Arabidopsis thaliana: one gene and its partners. The protein of the gene in region 3 interacts with the protein of the main gene of each other region in a pairwise test. Each region holds a gene or a part of one and is shown on either strand. Other genes may lie near its edges.

Region 1 (4,656 bases), on a different chromosome or scaffold from region 3:
AATCAACAGGAGTAGAAAAGAAAACCAACCTAGGAATTTGTTAAAATCACTAAAACTTGTTCCAGCTCCCCAAAGACCAAGCCTGACCATATAACCCATGTTTCGTGGTTCTGATGCCCCAGTAGCCGAGCAATAAATAACACGTGCTTGGGGGATCTTATCCTGCTTTTCCAGAATTCATTAGTTAGAGTCAACTAGATGGCACTAACCACAAATTAAGCATGTTAAACTAGAATATACACTATATTATCTGAAACCGAGAAAAAGTACAACCCAAAAAGACAAGTCGAAGTATATAATCTCTCACTCTTCAGAGCCAAGAGCAATATTAAAAGCAACACTGATAAGAACATTCAGTTTCAAGTAGCCAGACCTGAATGTCAACAACTGCCTGTCCGATGCGTGTCGGCTGACTCCCAGCTTCAGGTACCAAATTTTTCGCTTTATGGCACTATAAAAAAGGAAAACAAATTAGTACCTGCACAATGTACTAAAGATTAGAGGTTGGCCCAAAATTGATAAAACCAGTGATCAAGCAACTTACAACGACAGGGTATACTCAAATTGTTCAATTCACAAAAAAAGGGGGATGATGATTTTAACGCAAATAATTTAATATACTTCATTCATAGAACTGTTACCTCATCAAAGATCAAGAGACCATCAAATTCTGGTCCACACCATTGAACAAGCTGCTGTAAACGAGAACGGCCCTTCTCAGAGGAAGCAATGAGGCTATTGTATGTCAAGAATACCACTCCTTCTTTAATACCAACATTTTTCGAGTCAAGCTTAGAATAGGGTAGCTTGTTCAAAGGATTCACTGCACGTCAAACATATTGTTATTTAGTTGCAGAAAAAACAAACTGGACATTTGTTCACTTGAATGAACTTATCCATCGACATGGTTCCCTTGATTTGTCGTATTTTTCCATCTCCTAATATTCTATTAAAATTCCAAGCTCAAACCTATAAAGGATTAATGAGACTAAGAATCAAATATCCTATTGGACTATTCTAAAGTTACAGTCCAACTTTTATTTACCTGAAATTTTCATGAACTGCACAAACATCAGCTACCCATAACATTCTCTAGGCATGAAGACACCATAAACAAAGTTCAGGGACCCATTACCTTTATCAGTAAAGAAAATAAGTTCTCTAAAAATACATGTGTACTCTACATCGTAATATTAAAGCATGAGTCAATTTATCCATTCAGCAAAGTCAGAATCTCATTCTGATCCAGTCTACTCTATACCATCCACTTTCAAAATTTTCTATTCAACAATGAGCCAGAAAATAATTTATAGCATAAGCTATATGTAATTATGTATAACATATGAAGCATTTGTGACCCAAGAAAATAAGCGAATTACAAACTTAATTTACAGCCAAAATCAAGATAATACCTCCAACGCATGTAGCACCCACATCATCCAAGTCCCTTCTTGCATCATATTTCAAGTCTGAGCCAATAGAAATCCACCTATGTAAATCATAAAGGAAAAGGAGCAAATAGTATTAGAACTCATCCTACTTTAAGTTATCTAAGAAACCAAAAAAGGACACCGTAGACACAATTATGCAAATGTAGTATAATCATAAGTCAGATTGAATTGAGCTAACAATATCTTATCAAGGATGTAAATGGCGCAGAAGTATCTTTCTACAAGACTTACAAAGCTTTCCTCCTTCCATGTTTCCAATTTTCCCAAATCAACCCGGCAATTGTTCGCCCTTTGCCCACACCAGCACCATCTCCAACAAAAAAGCCTGCTCTGGTACCATCAGCAAGGTGCTGGAGATGCCTCTGTAATAAAAAAAAAACCATTGTCATACAGGTAGAAGATACGTTTAAATGCCATTAACCAAACTTTTTGCCATTTAAAAGCAACCTGGCAAGCGTAAACTAATGTCTCAATCTGCAAACACGATAAAGCCTTTGACCTTTCAAGCTCTTCCTTGATTTTGAGATCATAAGTAGGCTCTGGGGGTTGCACTGCAGATAGAGATGATGTTTCCACAATTGGATCAGGATGAGGAGGTCCGATCGAAAGTTTTGGGGGACGCTTCACAAAGAAACAAATTAGTATCATCAAAAACATTGAACAGACAGAAAAAGATGATCTCAAGATGAGGCACTCACATAATCCATAAACGTTTCTCCAGCCGTTCCACCTTCATCTTCTTCTCTCTCCACTTCAATAGCTTCCTCATTGACTTCTTCGGGAGGAGGCGGAGGCGGGACTGTGGGAGCAGCAGGAGTAGGAGGATTAGAATGAGATTGAGAAGCAGTTAAAGACCGATTAAGCTTGGAGACATCAACAGCGAGCTCGACATGGCACTGAGGACACGAGAACCGAGTGAGTCCATGAGGCACATTGAGGATAGCCTGACAGTTAGCGCAAGGCAATTGCATCTTCGTCGGATCGATTCCATGTGCCGGAACCGGAGGCCTAGGTAGATTAAGAGGCTTAAGCTGCTGTTGAATCGGTGGCGGAAGCGTCTGAATTGGCTGTGGTGGTTGTTGTGGAGACTGCGGAAACTGCGGCCGTGCCCTAGAAAGAAGCTCCGGCGGCAACATTTGGGGAAGTTGACAAGTCGGACACGAGAACTCCACAACGCCGGTTTTCACCCTCAGAATCACGCGACAGCCTGCGCACCTAACCTGTACATCGCCTCTTATTACACCTCCGGCGGCGGAATGCGGCTGAGCTGGGAGCGGCGGAGGCGGTTGAACAGGCGACTGCGTCATGAGCCGCGGCGATTGATCTTAAGAGAGATCCGTGAGAGGCCTTAGGATCTTGTGGCGTTGAAGGAGATAATTGAGAGAGGAAGACAAAAAAAGTATAAATCCAGTGTAAGTAATGAATTTCGTCAGAGCGCGAAAGGTTCTTCTTCGACTCCCTTCTCGTTTTTTTTGGTTTCAGATTTTCTTCCCTTTTTCTAATATTATTTTGGGATTGTTTGGTTCATCTAAAACTAATTATAATTACCCAAGAGGAGTCGAAGTAGGAAGATACAAAACCACTTCCGTACCGGTTGGGGTAATGGTAAGTGATGGGTTGATGGATCACGTGTCATCACGTGACTTGCCAGCTCACCGTTCGTTAGTTTGTGTGGGCTTAAAATAATAAATCCACATAAGTTTTGGGTTTGTGAACTTTGAGACCACTTAGTTGGGCCTAAAAGGGTTACAAAAGGGCTGATAGATGGGCCTATTTGTAAATTAAACCTTTTAAACATATCTACCAAGAAGTGTACAAATTTCTGTCTGGTTTGTTCTTCCCATTCAATTACCAAACAGCCAACTACCAACAACCCCAATGAATATACTTTCTTGGGATTGGAACGATTCATTTTCACACAACGTGTGAAAATTAGAACAGAAACACAATTATCTCTAACAAAAATCAAACAGCCAAACGTTTAACCATCGGCATCAATATCCAAACGAGACAAATTTGAATTATTTTGTTATTCAAGAAATCCATGTGTTATAGGTGTAAACTGTAAAATGAGATTGTTTCATCAGAGTGGTGCTTTGATGGCTCATTCTTAGAAACACTTTTCAACTAACCAAAAAAAAAGATATGTGGTAAGTCTTAATGTAATCAAGTGATAAATACTAAATTAAATCTACATTAATTTCACATGTGTTTTCAAATTCTTCACCATTTCATGCAATGACATTATTAACGGCGACTTTACTCCGCCGGTCTTTGCACTCTTCCTCGTCCATAGTGTCACATAGATCACTCCCTCTAGTCTCTGGCAATCCAACTGCAAACAATCCCAACAAACCTATAGCAAGACCAAACAATCCGAACGACCAGAACGCGTTTTTCCGACCAGCTGCTACCATAATAGGGCTGAAAACTCCACCAAGCACCAAAGCCTGTCTAGCCATTGCGATAGCCGAGTTTCTCACACATGTCGGAAACAGCTCGATCGTGTATATCATCTCCATGTTAAAAGCCGAACACGCGCTAAAGTAAGAGATTAGCTCTAACGCCAACTGTAACGCCCCGTGGTTTCCAATTCTCATATTATGTAACGCAAATATGAGAACGCTAGAGACTCCACCTAAAGCCGTAAATCCGATAAGCGCGTTTCTCCTACTGAGTTTATCGACTAGGAAAAGCGTGATGAGGTTCGCTGGTAAATCCATCAACGCATTAAACGCTGCACTTAAATAGATGTTGAAATCAAGATTCGATAACGCTAAAGGCATCCCGTAATAGACCAAACCAATCCCGAACGCAATGGCCATTACCGCGGATAATCTCTTAAGCGCCCATCTTTTCTCTACCAACACCTTCATGGTCGTGAAGATGTTAACATTAGTACTAGGCTTCTCTTCATCTTCTTCAAAAGGTAAGCTCGAAAAACTCATAGATATTGCACCACCACTGCTTACATCAGTAGACGGAATCGAAGCAACCCTTTTGAGAATCGAAATAGCTTCTTCTCTACGGCCTCTAACGAAAAGCCACCTTGGAGACTCACAAACGAAAAACCGAACAAGAACGCAGTATATTATCGTTGGAATCGAAGTCCATGCGTAGAGAATCCTCCAAGAACTTCCTCTGTTCATGTAAGCCATCAAAGGAAGAGACAAAAAGCCAAGCATGAATCCGAAGAAACTCATTA
Region 2 (4,278 bases), 1.9 Mb from region 3:
GTTATACATGTGTTCTGTTTTGTTCTTTCTCTGAAGTTTCTTGTTTTTTTTTGTGATGAGCAGGTTTCTTCTGTGAAAGTTATACGTAACAAGCTCACTTCTCAATCAGAAGGGTATGGGTTTGTTGAGTTTCTTTCACGTGCTGCAGCTGAAGAAGTTCTTCAGAACTATAGTGGTTCAGTGATGCCAAACTCGGACCAACCCTTCCGTATAAACTGGGCATCTTTTAGTACTGGTGAAAAAAGAGCAGTGGAAAATGGTCCAGACCTATCTGTTTTTGTGGGAGACTTGTCTCCAGATGTCACTGACGTTTTATTGCATGAGACCTTTTCTGATAGATATCCTTCTGTCAAAAGCGCCAAAGTTGTGATTGATTCCAACACCGGCCGGTCCAAAGGTTATGGTTTTGTGAGGTTCGGTGATGAAAATGAGAGGTCAAGGGCTTTGACAGAAATGAATGGAGCTTACTGTTCGAACAGGCAAATGCGTGTAGGTATTGCAACTCCCAAAAGAGCGATTGCTAATCAGCAACAACATTCTTCACAAGGTTTCTTTTCATACTTCTCTCTGCAACTAGTTTTACCCTCTGATTCTTTCTATTTAAGTGTACTAGTTTTAAGCGAGAGGTGAGCCAGTTTTAATCCATAGGACTCTAGAGCTAACAACTTGTTGCATTCAACAAAGTTTTTGAACTATAAAGATTTTATGTTTTCATTGGAATAGCTGTGATTCTGGCTGGTGGACATGGATCAAATGGTTCCATGGGTTATGGCTCGCAGTCTGATGGCGAATCAACTAACGCAACAGTGAGTTGTCATATTTAGTTATATGTCAGCATCATTCAAGCTCTATATGTTCTTGCTGCTCATCTTAGGTTATTCTACTGCAGATATTTGTTGGCGGCATTGACCCTGATGTTATTGATGAAGACCTCAGACAACCTTTTTCCCAGTTTGGAGAGGTTGTTTCAGTGAAGATCCCAGTAGGGAAAGGATGTGGATTTGTCCAATTTGCTGACAGGTGCTGTCTTCATCTAGTTAGTAGTGTTGGCTTGGCAATCATATGATTGAGCAACCTGTAGGTGCTTATCTCATAGCGAGTAATTCAAAGCGACTTGCCTTTGGTTTTGACAGGAAGAGTGCTGAAGATGCTATCGAGAGTTTGAACGGGACAGTCATCGGCAAGAACACTGTCAGACTCTCCTGGGGACGAAGCCCAAACAAGCAGGTAAAATTTCACTTTGGAGTTGATGCATTCTATCAGTAGAAGAGTAAATTGAGTATTTTGCTAGGGTCAAACTTTGTGAATAGTTGTTTGTTTTGTTATTAAAAGTAAAGTCAGTGGTTGACAATAATAGCTGGTGGAATCTAGCACCTTCCCTTCGTTTTCTATTTTGACTTATGCAAGTGGGAGAATATCTAATACATGTCTCCATGTCCAACTTGTGTCACCAACCCTGAACATGGTCTTATGTCGACATGTTTTGGTCTAGGACTTAACCAAATTGGTTCTGCTGGCAATAGATTTCTTTTTAGTTCTCATAATGTGTTCAACTTGTGGCAGTGGAGAGGAGACTCAGGGCAGCAGTGGAATGGAGGATACTCACGAGGACATGGTTACAACAATGGAGGAGGATATGCTAACCACCACGACTCCAACAACTATCATGGGGAGAATTGAAGAGACTCATCAAGTGATCATCTTCATCATGGTTTCACATATCAAAGCTAAAACCTGTAGTCGAAAGAAGAATTTTGTTAGATGGATTTGATTTTGATAGACTTGTTGTTTGGAGGAGATTCAAAAATTTTGGTTACTGGTTTGTCTCAGACTAATATAAATGGTTGCAACTTGTTGGATCAAAATTCCGCTTACCTTCTACGAATTGCTTATAAGCCCAAAACTTTCTGAAATTAAACAAACAACCCCAAAACTTTAAAATTATATTTATTAACTCACATTAATTTTAAATTTTTAGCTATTAGCCCTTTCTCTCTCACTTCTTCAGTTTTTCTTCTACTCTCAACCTCTCCGGAGAGAAAAAAATCGGAGAGTGAAGATGGAAGAAGCTTTCATGGCGATGCTCTCACATCTTCTCCATCTCCAAAACTCATTAGATCCTACAAGCACTCTCTTCTCTTCCGCATCCACATCTTCACAGTCTTCAACCACACCTTCCTCCCTCCTCTCCACTTCCTCCGCCGCGCCTTTACTCTTCTTCACTCTCGCATCTCTCCTCTCCTTCCTCGCCGTCAACAGATCTTCAACCGAATCCTCATCTTCCTCAGAATCACCTTCCCCTTCCCCTCCTCCGCCTCTTGCCGACGGCGATTACTCCGTCGCTGCCTTCCGTGCCCTAACCACAGACCACATCTGGTCACTCGATGCGCCTCTCCGCGACGCTCGTTGGCGCTCATTGTACGGTCTTTCCTACCCAGTCTTCATCACCGTCGTCGACAAGCTCAAACCATTCATCACCGCTTCAAATCTCTCTCTCCCCGCCGATTACGCCGTCGCTATGGTCCTCTCTCGTCTCGCTCATGGCTGCTCAGCTAAAACCCTAGCTTCTCGCTACTCACTAGATCCATACCTCATCTCCAAGATCACAAACATGGTCACACGTCTCTTAGCCACCAAGCTATATCCAGAATTCATCAAAATCCCCGTCGGAAAACGGAGATTGATCGAAACGACTCAGGGATTCGAAGAACTCACCTCTCTCCCCAACATTTGCGGCGCCATTGATAGTACTCCGGTGAAGCTCAGACGCCGCACGAAACTAAACCCTAGAAACATTTACGGTTGCAAGTACGGATACGACGCCGTTTTGCTTCAGGTTGTTGCTGATCACAAGAAGATCTTTTGGGACGTTTGTGTGAAAGCTCCAGGTGGAGAAGACGACTCTTCTCATTTCAGAGATAGTCTTCTATATAAGAGGCTTACTTCAGGAGACATTGTTTGGGAGAAAGTTATCAATATTAGAGGTCACCATGTGAGACCATACATTGTTGGAGATTGGTGTTATCCTCTTCTCTCATTCCTGATGACTCCATTTTCACCAAATGGCTCTGGTACGCCACCGGAGAATCTATTCGATGGAATGTTGATGAAAGGAAGGTCAGTGGTGGTGGAAGCTATTGGATTGCTCAAGGCTAGATGGAAGATTCTTCAGAGTTTGAATGTTGGTGTGAACCATGCTCCTCAGACTATTGTGGCTTGTTGTGTGTTGCATAATCTTTGTCAGATTGCTAGAGAACCTGAACCGGAGATTTGGAAGGATCCAGATGAAGCTGGAACGCCTGCAAGAGTTTTGGAGAGTGAGAGGCAGTTTTACTATTACGGGGAGAGTTTGAGGCAAGCATTGGCAGAAGATTTACACCAGAGACTCTCCTCGAGGTAAAAGACATGAACAGATCTTGGTCAAAAAATGGAGCTTTCTATCTTTGTTATCATGTAAGAAGCAGATGCTTTCAAGTGTTTAGAACTTTAGATAGCATTGTAGATTCAATCCTCTTGAGAAGAAAGTTTGAGGATTCAGAAATGTTAAAAAGCTGACTTTGTTGCCTAGCCATCCCAACTGTCAGTTTTGTAACTTAGGAATGGGTTTATGGTTTGTTCTGTAACACCTTTTGAGAATGAAATGTATGACTTCTATTGATATGGATTATGGAATCTTGAGAAGCAAGTTTTTCCGAATTTGAAATATTAATAGCTCTCTGTTACTGTAAGTTTTGTGACTTAGGAATGGGTTTTTATGATTTGCTTTGTGGCACATTGTGAATGGAATCTGAATCTTTTTCCTGGAAAAAATGGAGACAGCCAAATGAAAAGAGAAAGGGATGTTCTTAATATCTGTCTTCCATGATTTGGAAGAACACGACTGTGGATTATCATCTTATTATACAACTCTCCAGGCCTGTCGGATTTTTCTGGATACTCTCTTTCTTTGTCGGAACTTAGCATTCTTTTTCTAACACTATAAACATAGGAATGGGTCCTGAAAAAAATTCCAATTCCCAACCCCAATCCACCCATTTGCTTCTTGCAGTTGTATGTTCTTCCTCTTTCGAATCCGTTATAACACCGAGTCACTTTCCTCATCGCGTTTTCGCTAAAGATTGTCGAGTCGAGACACCGTGCAGCAGTTTGACAAAACCCAAGAAACTCAGCTTCCCGTCAGTATGTCTTATCCAGTCATTTAGAATGGTATGAACCGGGATGGATGATCCAACACCAAGTTCCTACAAAACATTTATGTTCCCTTCGTTTAGGAATTAG
Region 3 (4,806 bases):
TTTTTGGTATCTTTTCTTGCCCACTTTAAAAAAAAAAAAAGAATATTCATTTGTTACATTAATAATTTACTATTTCTTTAGTAATCACTACTTTTATTGCTAGATTTAGTTCCAAAAAAAAACTTTATTTTGAAAAAAAAAACTTTATTTTGAACTTTACTAAGGAAAAATCTTGATTAGTAATCCTAGTGATACCAATATATCATTAGATAATATCTAATCTATATGTCTAAACACACGTGGACCTTTGGAATCAAACTCTTTTCTACCTAAAACAAAAACAAAATTCAGAAGATTTCAAGATGCTTTATTTCTTACGTTTTCATTATTGTATTCGTTTCAAAAAAAAATAAGAATAGTGCAAGTTAGAATGATGTTACGGTGGGACTCGGAAGATGGTATTTTTACTCAAATATCATGATTCACCTTTCGATACATGAATATTAGCTTAGTGCGGAAGGTAAAATTGTGAGAAACATCTATGTGTAATGAATTTGAATTGACTGTCATTTGTTTAGTACCTATAAAATGCCAAAAGGCAAACATCATAGAAAAATAAATAAACAGACCAACGAAAAGGTTTCTTGCCTAACATTCTTCTTTTATAGAAGATCATCATTGGTGGTTTGAATGATGCTTCAGACACAAGAAAATCTAGCTCAAACAATTACTCAAAAGAAAAAGAGTTAAAAAAATGCTTTTAGGTACACATGCAAATCTCCAATGTCATAATAACCAAACATAGCTTTAAGATTTTGCGGTTGGATTGTGTCAAAAATGTCCTATGCCATGTTCTAACCTAACTAGTGAAACACAATCTAACTCAGAGATTAAGAGAAGTTCAAAAACGTGCACAAGAGTCTGCAGCAGAATGATCTCAGGCAATCTAGTGAAGTTAAATCTGTTCCATATGACCAAAGTTAAGAAAGATATGCAAAATATTAATACACTCATGAAGCCTAGATAAGTTTCAGTTTCTCTTTCAACAATTAAAGACTCAAATCTAAAATATATCAATTACGACACTGCATCACTAAATTCTAGTTATTACCCAAATCGTTGTTGTTGTTGACAATCGCATTGATGTTGTTCTTGCGGCTGTGATGATGATCATTACTGGTGTTTCCCATTCTCCTCCCATGTTGCTGCTTAAGTTGTGATATCTCCAATTGAGTCTTCACAAAGAACTGCATTCTCTGCAACTCAAGCTCCTTCAAGAACTTCATCCTCTCTTTCTCCATCTCAACCACCTGTTGCAGTTTCGCATTCTCTGTTTGCTCATAAGCTTCACCGAATCTCATGATTGCCCGAGTCAGCTCCCTCCATTTGTTCCCCACTCCATCACCATCTTGCTTCTTCTTCTCCTCCGTCTTCATCCTCTTCGACAGAGGAGGAGGTGGTAAACTGTCACCGGAATCATCTGACATTGCTGCTTCAGATTCCGAGTCTGAATCAGAAGCGTTCCTCTTCCTGAAACGCCAGCGTTTCGACTCACTACACCTTTTCACCATCATCCCTTGCTGCTGTTGCTGTGGCAGTGTCCTACCTTGCTGTGGCAGAGTCCTCCCTTGCTGTCCAAACGGAGCTGAACGGCTACTCATCGGAATTCCCATAGGTACATTGACAGATCCTCCTCCGCCTCCTCCACCACTGCCACCGAAAGAAGCAGCTGAGACTCTAGCCGTAGCTCCAATTAACCGGTCAAGATTATTGAAAGGCGGTGTTGCAGCCTTAGCTTGCTGATGGTACAGATTCGAACGACTTCCCATTGGAATACCCATAGGAATCTTATGCAATCCTCCGACAGGACCGCTGACTCCAGAAGTTGCCGTCGGGATCTTCGCCGTTGATCCAATCAGACGGTCAAGCTTGTCGAAGAACACCCATCTGCTACGGCCACCGCCGTTAGCGATTCTCACCTTCTCTTGTTTATACTTCTTCTTCACCGTATCGATCCTATTCTTACACTGTATATCAGTTTTGGGAATTTTACCGTAATCCTCTCTGCTGCTCACAATCTCAGCCACCTCTTTCCAGTGCTTCTGCTTCAGATTCCCTCTGCTAAGCTCCAAGTATCTCTCACCCCACGCATCAATCAACACAGCCGTAGCTGCTTCGCTCCAACAATCCTCCCTCCCGCCGCCGCCGGTTGGTCTCCCACTGCTGTTATTCCCTCCACCGCTGGCCTGAATCGGAAGCAGCGCCAGAGCCAACGCATCCGGATCCTTCTGCGACGAATTACCCGGAGGAGTCAGAGAATAAGAAGGCGGACCTGCCGAAGCCACCGTAACCGTGATTCGTCCCGCCGGCGGGGAGGAAGACGGATCAGGTGAATCGGAACCCTGAGATCGGATGTCTTCATCGTCCTCCATGGAATTCGATATCGCCGGATCTGAGTCAGAAGCTCGTGAAAGAGGGAGATAGGGTTAGGGTTTGGGTTAATATTCTGTTCGGGAGGGGTAAACGGGAAGGAGACGGCGTCGGTGAGTAGAGGGGACACGTGGAAGGACGTGAGAAGATACGGGGAGATGACGTGGAATGACGTGATTGGTAGGTCAGAGGTAAGATTCCGTCACCGGTAAAGTTGCCGGCTCGGTTTAGGGGTAAAAGATGGGTTTGTATCGTAATTTCCCCATTTCTTCGTAATCCGATGAGGAAGTGTATTGACGGAAAAGCCCATCTAGTTTTACTATAATTACCGGAACTATCCCCGTGAACCATTTTTCCGGTGATGTACCGAAATTACCCTTAGCCTAACCGTCAGTTTCAATATCGGTCGTAGACTTTTTTTAGTCCGTCGATAGTTTCCAGTTGTCTTCCTTCGTTGTCTTGCTTCATTCGTTAAATCGATTCGAATTAGTCTCTCTTTTAACAATAAGAACGGTGACGTGGATGTTATTTACTTTGGGCATGGGTTTTTATTGGGCTTTCCATACGCTACGTTAGCATGTTATCACTTAGTATCATTTTTTCTTTTCACCATTGTCAAAGATACAACTTTAAACATTCCAGAAATACTATGTTTCAAAAAGACCTTATATAATCTTCGTGAATTGTGAAACAAACAGAAATTTAATATTTCTCAAATCTCAAAACACCAAAAGCGACCATTATGTTATGTACACAGCAAATATATATATACAAAGAAAAGTAGTTTGGGATACTTCTTCTTCTCGTAGAAATACCTTGTAATATTTTTCAACGGTCCAATGCGTTTAGCACAATCCTGCAGTATTACCGGACGTTAATTAGATATGGTGGTACTAATGAAAGCGATAATGCGTTGGATAAAATGAAGTATAGTTTGAGAGGAAAGAAAAGAGAGGGAGATCAAACCAATCGCAAGCATTGAGACTTGTAGCATGTGTTTCACTTGGTGTTCCAGCTGCATACAAATGATTTTGGTAATCATTAATTTACAAATCCATAATACTCTCAAGCTAATAATGATTATGGATGTCAAAATAAAAAAAAAAAATAATAAAAAAAAGCTTATAATGACTATGAACATATGTATCACCTTGCAAAGTCTTTAATTTACATGAATATATAGGGTTTTAACTGCTCATAACACAAGCATAGAAGATAAAAAAAAAGTGGATCAGAAAGGATTTTTAAAAAAGGTAACATAAGAGTCAAAGGGGAAACGGGGTTGCTTGAACGGTCAGGAGAATTCGGGACACGTTTCAGATCCACCATCAACTTCCGGTTGGCACTTTCACCGGATATGTGGTTTCTCAACTTCCCGAGACCATTTTCCGGCGTTGGACCGGCCAAAGTTTCATCCCACAACTTGTGCGAAAAACCCATATCTCTGATCAAATTATTAGAAGGGTTTTTCTTGTTAATTGTCTCTAATGTGTTTTGAAAAGAGTTTTTTTTTTGTTAAGTCTTCTTTATGTGAGGATAATGGTTTTATATAAGGAACAGGAACGAGAAGCGTTGAATATCCTTGGTTAGACTAATTATATACACTTTACCTATAATTTAACCTTCCAAAATTAAGGAGATTTAATCAAGGATGATGATAAATCTAGCCGATAAGAAGATAACTTAGAGAAGTGTGACATGTTTTGCTTCTATCTTACATGATAGTTTGATGCCGTCAATTTGATTTATGTGATGGGCCTGTACCTGGGCCAATTCTTGATTAGGCCTGCATTAAAATATTCTGCCAACGGCTAGAAACTTTTTCTCTTCTTCTATAAATTTACTTTTTTTGGCCTAATCCCGGAGGTTCTTCATTATTTCGTCAGAACAACATTGAAAAGTTACCGTTAAACACTCTAAGCGCTCTTCTTCATCTTCTTATACACTTCTCTTCCAACAAGAATCTCACCAAGAAACTTCTTCACTTTTACAAAGGTAATCTCTTTCTTCCTTCTGATTTAGGTTCACATTATAGACTGTTCTTCTTGCGATTGTTTGTTCTTCTTTTCGTATGTCGCTACTTGATTCGTTCTGGGTTTCTGGGGTCTGTGGTGTTAAATTTGCTTGAGGATCGAATTGGGTTTTGTGAAAAAAACGATCTTTGTTTCGATTTCGAGTTGGGTTTCTGTTACCTTTTTTAGGGTTTCTAATTGCTTAAAATCGTCAGTTCTGGAATCAAATCTTCGTTTCTGCAATTGGTTCTTTGATGATTCACAGTTAAAACCATATGGCGAACATGAACGCTCTTCAACAAATGATCTTCCCAGACGAGAACGCTCCAATTCATCGCAAAAGTAGTTAATCTTTCTCTACTCTCTTTAAATCATATTGCTTTGAAACAAAGATTTAACATTTTCTTTCTTGGCTATTATTTAC
Region 4 (4,415 bases), on a different chromosome or scaffold from region 3:
AAAAAAATACAATTTTTTTTACTAACGAATCATATGAATAGTTGTTTTATATACGGTACATTAACGATCCTCTCATCAGCTTTATAGATAACGAAGCATATTATTCTCCTTAGTTCCGCTTTTTATCACTTGAGATTAAACTCTACTCACAGGTTTAAGCACGTAAATTAGTTACTAAATAATGGATTTGACATTTACGCTTTGCATGCTTATATATGTTACCCATAATTATTTCCCTTTAGTTACTTAAAGTTACCAAAATCAACTACTTCAAGATTCTCCAATCAAAAGAAGCGTGTAAAAGCCTCTATAGTTATATAGTAGTATATAGACCTTGAAGATTTCTTTTTGAAGAAAATATGATTATACTGAGTTCAAAAGGTCGAAAAGAAATAATAAAGGTAGAATCCCTTTACATGATGTGTGGAACAACTTTTCTTGACCTCCAACTTCTTGGGATCGTGGGAAATATATAGGAGAATCTAATCGGAAGTTGTACAGAACGTGTAAGAACTAAGAACCATATTCACTTTGTTGTCATTGTTATAAGATTCAAGATTCTTTGACCGGCGCGTGAAAAAAGCATCCACCTATAGGCTCAAGATTCGTGTCCAAGAAAATATCGAGAACCGATGATTACTTGGAAAGTGGACCATTTTTTAAAAAATCAAAAATTAAAAAAGGAACGTAGCTCATGCGAATAGTTTAGTCCACCAAAGTGAAATGGTAGAACATTTGGTTTCAGTTTAGTTGTGTGTATTTTTATTAAAGGCTTCAGAATCAATTTCGATTTTTGAAAAATGAGTTTTTATAGCCATGTTAGTATGTTACGAGGATGGAAAAGCAACCTAGCTAGATTATCTTGTGATATGTGTTATTGTTCAAGAGAAGTAGGGGCAGTAGTTGTCGAGATCATGTTATTAGTGTCGCTGGAATGTTAGATATTGCCCATCCTGTCTCTTTTTCCCCATCGTGCCCTAAAAGTCAAACTATGCATGGTATTAGCTAATCTTGAATAGGTTTAATTCAGTACGGAAACTCTAATTGAAAACTACCTTCATGGAGTAATAGTTATCGAGGAACGATGATGAGGTATTAGTGGAGATAAGCAGATTTGGACTCAATATCAAAAATTAATGGTGGGATCCATTTCCGTTTCACCTAATATACATAGTGGCAAACAAAAAACAAATATAAGAAGAAAAGATTCAGTATCGAGCATTCTAGCTATGTCGGTAACGTGACAAAGTCCTTTTTTTCGTTTGTCTGTTTCTTTAAAGTTAATCAAATCGGCCAACGCTGCCTCAACAACGAGCTTCCTTTTTCTAACGTCCCTAATTTGCCACGTCCATTTTCTGGACTAGTCCCGGTTTAAAAAATCTTCAGAGATGTATTCGTGGTCAACTTCATTAACTCTTTCTCTTGAGCCCTTCATTAGTTATGATCTTATTTACTTTTTAAAAATCTAACCAAGTACTGTATATTATATATGTGGTAGCCAAAATATTATGTTAAATTCTAGGCTAATCCGATATATCAAGAAAAATCAATATATAAAAATGGAGAGCTATTTTTCACGAGTTAAGTGAGAGAGATGAGTAAAGAAAGGCACGGGAAGGTGAAGAGAGTGTAGGTTTCCAGCTTCTTCCCCAAGAAATAAAATGTATTTGACTTTGTCTAAGCAAATATGTCGTCACTTTAACGTCATTCATTACCTAGAATGCAATTAAGATATGGCTTTTACATAAGCCACCAAATTTGGTTTTGTTGCCCCAAAATATCCCAAGAAAAGATCAACTTCTTCTTCTTACCAAAACTGTCGGCGTCGTCTCCTCTAAGCTCCTCCCATGGAAGCAGAAGAAGGTCATCAGCGTGACCGCCTCTGCGACTATTGCGACTCCTCCGTGGCTCTTGTCTACTGCAAAGCTGACTCCGCCAAGCTCTGCCTCGCCTGCGACAAGCAAGTCCACGTCGCCAACCAACTCTTCGCCAAACACTTCAGGTCACTTCTCTGCGACTCCTGCAACGAATCTCCCTCTTCCCTTTTCTGCGAGACTGAAAGGTCTGTTCTTTGCCAGAACTGCGACTGGCAACACCACACCGCCTCTTCCTCCCTTCATAGCCGCAGACCCTTTGAAGGATTTACCGGCTGTCCCTCCGTGCCTGAGTTGCTGGCCATCGTTGGCCTCGATGACCTCACTCTCGATTCCGGATTGCTTTGGGAGTCACCTGAGATCGTTAGCCTCAACGACCTTATTGTTTCGGGCGGGTCGGGTACTCATAACTTCCGGGCCACGGATGTTCCTCCTCTGCCTAAGGTATAACTTGCTCTGTTTTTTTTCTCGAGCCAATTGCTCGGTTTTTATATTTCTCTGAAATGTTTTGAAATGCTCCAGAATCGTCACGCCACCTGCGGGAAATACAAAGATGAGATGATCCGACAGCTCCGTGGACTATCCAGATCTGAGCCTGGTTGTCTGAAATTTGAAACCCCAGATGCTGAGATCGATGCCGGGTTCCAATTCCTAGCGCCGGATTTGTTTTCTACATGCGAGCTGGTAATAGAGACTGCTATTGGTTGTGTTTTCTTGTGCTTGTCAAATGATTTTCCAGCTTATAAATCTCTCTTGTCAATATGAAGGAGAGTGGACTGAAATGGTTCGATCAGCAAGATCATGAGGACTTTCCATATTGCTCTCTGCTAAAGAACTTGTCGGAGTCAGATGAGAAACCTGAGAATGTAGACCGAGAGTCATCGGTGATGGTTCCCGTTTCCGGCTGCTTAAACCGATGTGAGGAAGAGACTGTGATGGTTCCGGTTATCACTAGTACAAGGTCGATGACACATGAGATCAACAGTCTTGAGAGGAACTCTGCTCTCTCTCGCTACAAAGAAAAGAAGAAGTCTCGAAGGTAAACAAGCTAATTTAAAAAGTGAGACACCACCAATAGGATTGGGATTTGAATCATGTGTTGATGAAACAGGTACGAGAAACACATCAGGTATGAATCACGCAAGGTTCGTGCAGAAAGCAGGACAAGAATCAGGGGACGTTTCGCCAAGGCAGCAGATCCATGAATGATGATGAGGTTACTTTGATAATCAAAAATCTTTTGTATTAATCGAATCATATAGTGTGTATGATCAGATAAGTTTTTGTATTCTAAGCTTAGGAGTTATCACTGTATATCGACCACACTCTCAAAATTGTCACTTAAGAATAGTTTTTTTTTTGTTTTGCCTCCGATTCCTAATTTGCCAAAGGGCAAGCATGGACGAGCACAGAACAAAACATGGTTCACAGTTATATACAATCTCAAGACAAGCAAGCAGCAAAAGAACTTGTTGTAATGTTAGAAAGTGAGATTGGACCCATTAAAGATCCATGGAGCAAGAAGGGCTTGATGTAATTGATATTATGGGCTCAAGTTGTAACATAGTAAACCCAATATAGGTTGGCATGTTTGGGCCATTTTCTTTTAAAGCCCAAATATAAAAGCGTCTCTTCCCGATGGCCGGCGAAACAGAAATTCCGCTGCCGTCGCAGCTTTCACTCTTGTTTTTTTATTCAGATGAAATTGGATGGCCGATGAAGACAAACATCCAAAGGCATGGGCTCGCGGCAACAACTATTTGCAATCTACCAATATATAATAATCTGAGGCAGTATAAAAATACAAAAAAAAATGACAACACTTTTTGGCAGATCATTCCTGCTACGATGAATCTGTCCCAATGATAATCTGAGAAGTAAAGTAAGTTTTGGTTGAACAAGGAATCTGGAGTGGGTTTTACTTGTTGAGCAATCAGTAAGCACTAAATCATGTATCAGAGTTGTGGTTATATTCTCTATGTTCTTCTTAGAATTCAAATATGAATCTGACTTGGAGTTCTTTATTTTAATGATGGTTAATTTTACTGTTAATATTTTTGGATTTGAACATTTGGTGAAGAGTGGTTGCAGCTTGAAGCAATTTTGCATCTCTCACTCTTCGTTTACTGTTTGTTGACGTTGAAGATTAGGCCCCAACAAACTTGTATATAAGAGCCCTTCTCTGTTTATTCTCCTGTCTTAAGAGCGCTAAATCCCTTGGAGACATCTTCACCACACTGTTCAGAGATCTGTCATGGGCCCCGGAGGACCAGGAGGACCCGGAGGACCAGGGTTCTTGCCACCGGGAGGACCAGGCTTCTTCCCACCCATTGGTGGTTTCTTTTCTGGGTTCTCCGACATGATATGTTCCTGGTAAAGACATTCTCTGTTTTGCTATGTGTTTTGTAAAGAGTTAAGTGGTTAGTCTGACTGTGGAATCTTGCAGTCTATCTTGTCTGTGCTGCTGCTGGCTGCTACGAGATTGCTTTGGCGGCCCACCGCCACAAGGACCGCCACTTCTGCCACCCTATTATTGACCAC

The links.
Region 1: the proteins of ASIL2 (region 3) and EMB1135 interact in a two-hybrid assay, tested with the Arabidopsis thaliana proteins (one large-scale study listed by BioGRID).
Region 2: the proteins of ASIL2 (region 3) and AT3G19120 interact in a two-hybrid assay, tested with the Arabidopsis thaliana proteins (one large-scale study listed by BioGRID).
Region 4: the proteins of ASIL2 (region 3) and AT2G47890 interact in a two-hybrid assay, tested with the Arabidopsis thaliana proteins (one large-scale study listed by BioGRID).

What each region holds. Positions count from the first base shown.
Region 1 is NC_003070.9:29,850,458-29,855,113, forward strand, and holds the start of EMB1135 (RING/FYVE/PHD zinc finger superfamily protein), read right to left. Parts: upstream 3,010-4,656; 5' UTR 2,759-3,009; coding exon 2,150-2,758; intron 2,073-2,149; coding exon 1,899-2,072; intron 1,814-1,898; coding exon 1,683-1,813; intron 1,490-1,682; coding exon 1,413-1,489; intron 824-1,412; coding exon 642-823; intron 452-641; coding exon 374-451; intron 163-373; coding exon 30-162; intron 1-29. Other genes in the region: OCT2 (organic cation/carnitine transporter 2), read right to left, coding at 3,683-4,656. UniProt on the Arabidopsis thaliana protein: Required for normal embryo development. Necessary to acquire heat stress (HS) memory, by modulating nucleosome occupancy and regulating heat-induced gene expression.
Region 2 is NC_003074.8:6,608,800-6,613,077, reverse strand, and holds AT3G19120 (PIF / Ping-Pong family of plant transposase), read left to right. Parts: upstream 1-1,939; 5' UTR 1,940-2,059; coding exon 2,060-3,400; 3' UTR 3,401-3,728; downstream 3,729-4,278. Other genes in the region: RBP47B (RNA-binding protein 47B), read left to right, coding at 64-547, 724-806, 890-1,020, 1,134-1,227, 1,564-1,680; AT3G19100 (Protein kinase superfamily protein), read right to left, coding at 4,098-4,241.
Region 3 is NC_003074.8:4,706,250-4,711,055, forward strand, and holds ASIL2 (sequence-specific DNA binding transcription factor), read right to left. Parts: upstream 2,928-4,806; 5' UTR 2,373-2,927; coding exon 1,041-2,372; 3' UTR 553-1,040; downstream 1-552. Other genes in the region: AT3G14190 (uncharacterized protein), read left to right, coding at 4,658-4,724. UniProt on the Arabidopsis thaliana protein: Transcription regulator that may repress the maturation program during early embryogenesis.
Region 4 is NC_003071.7:19,606,398-19,610,812, forward strand, and holds AT2G47890 (B-box type zinc finger protein with CCT domain-containing protein), read left to right. Parts: upstream 1-1,598; 5' UTR 1,599-1,847; coding exon 1,848-2,318; intron 2,319-2,396; coding exon 2,397-2,558; coding exon of another isoform or gene 2,559-2,639; exon of another isoform or gene 2,640-2,641; coding exon 2,642-2,913; coding exon of another isoform or gene 2,914-2,917; exon of another isoform or gene 2,918-2,985; coding exon 2,986-3,079; 3' UTR 3,080-3,890; downstream 3,891-4,415.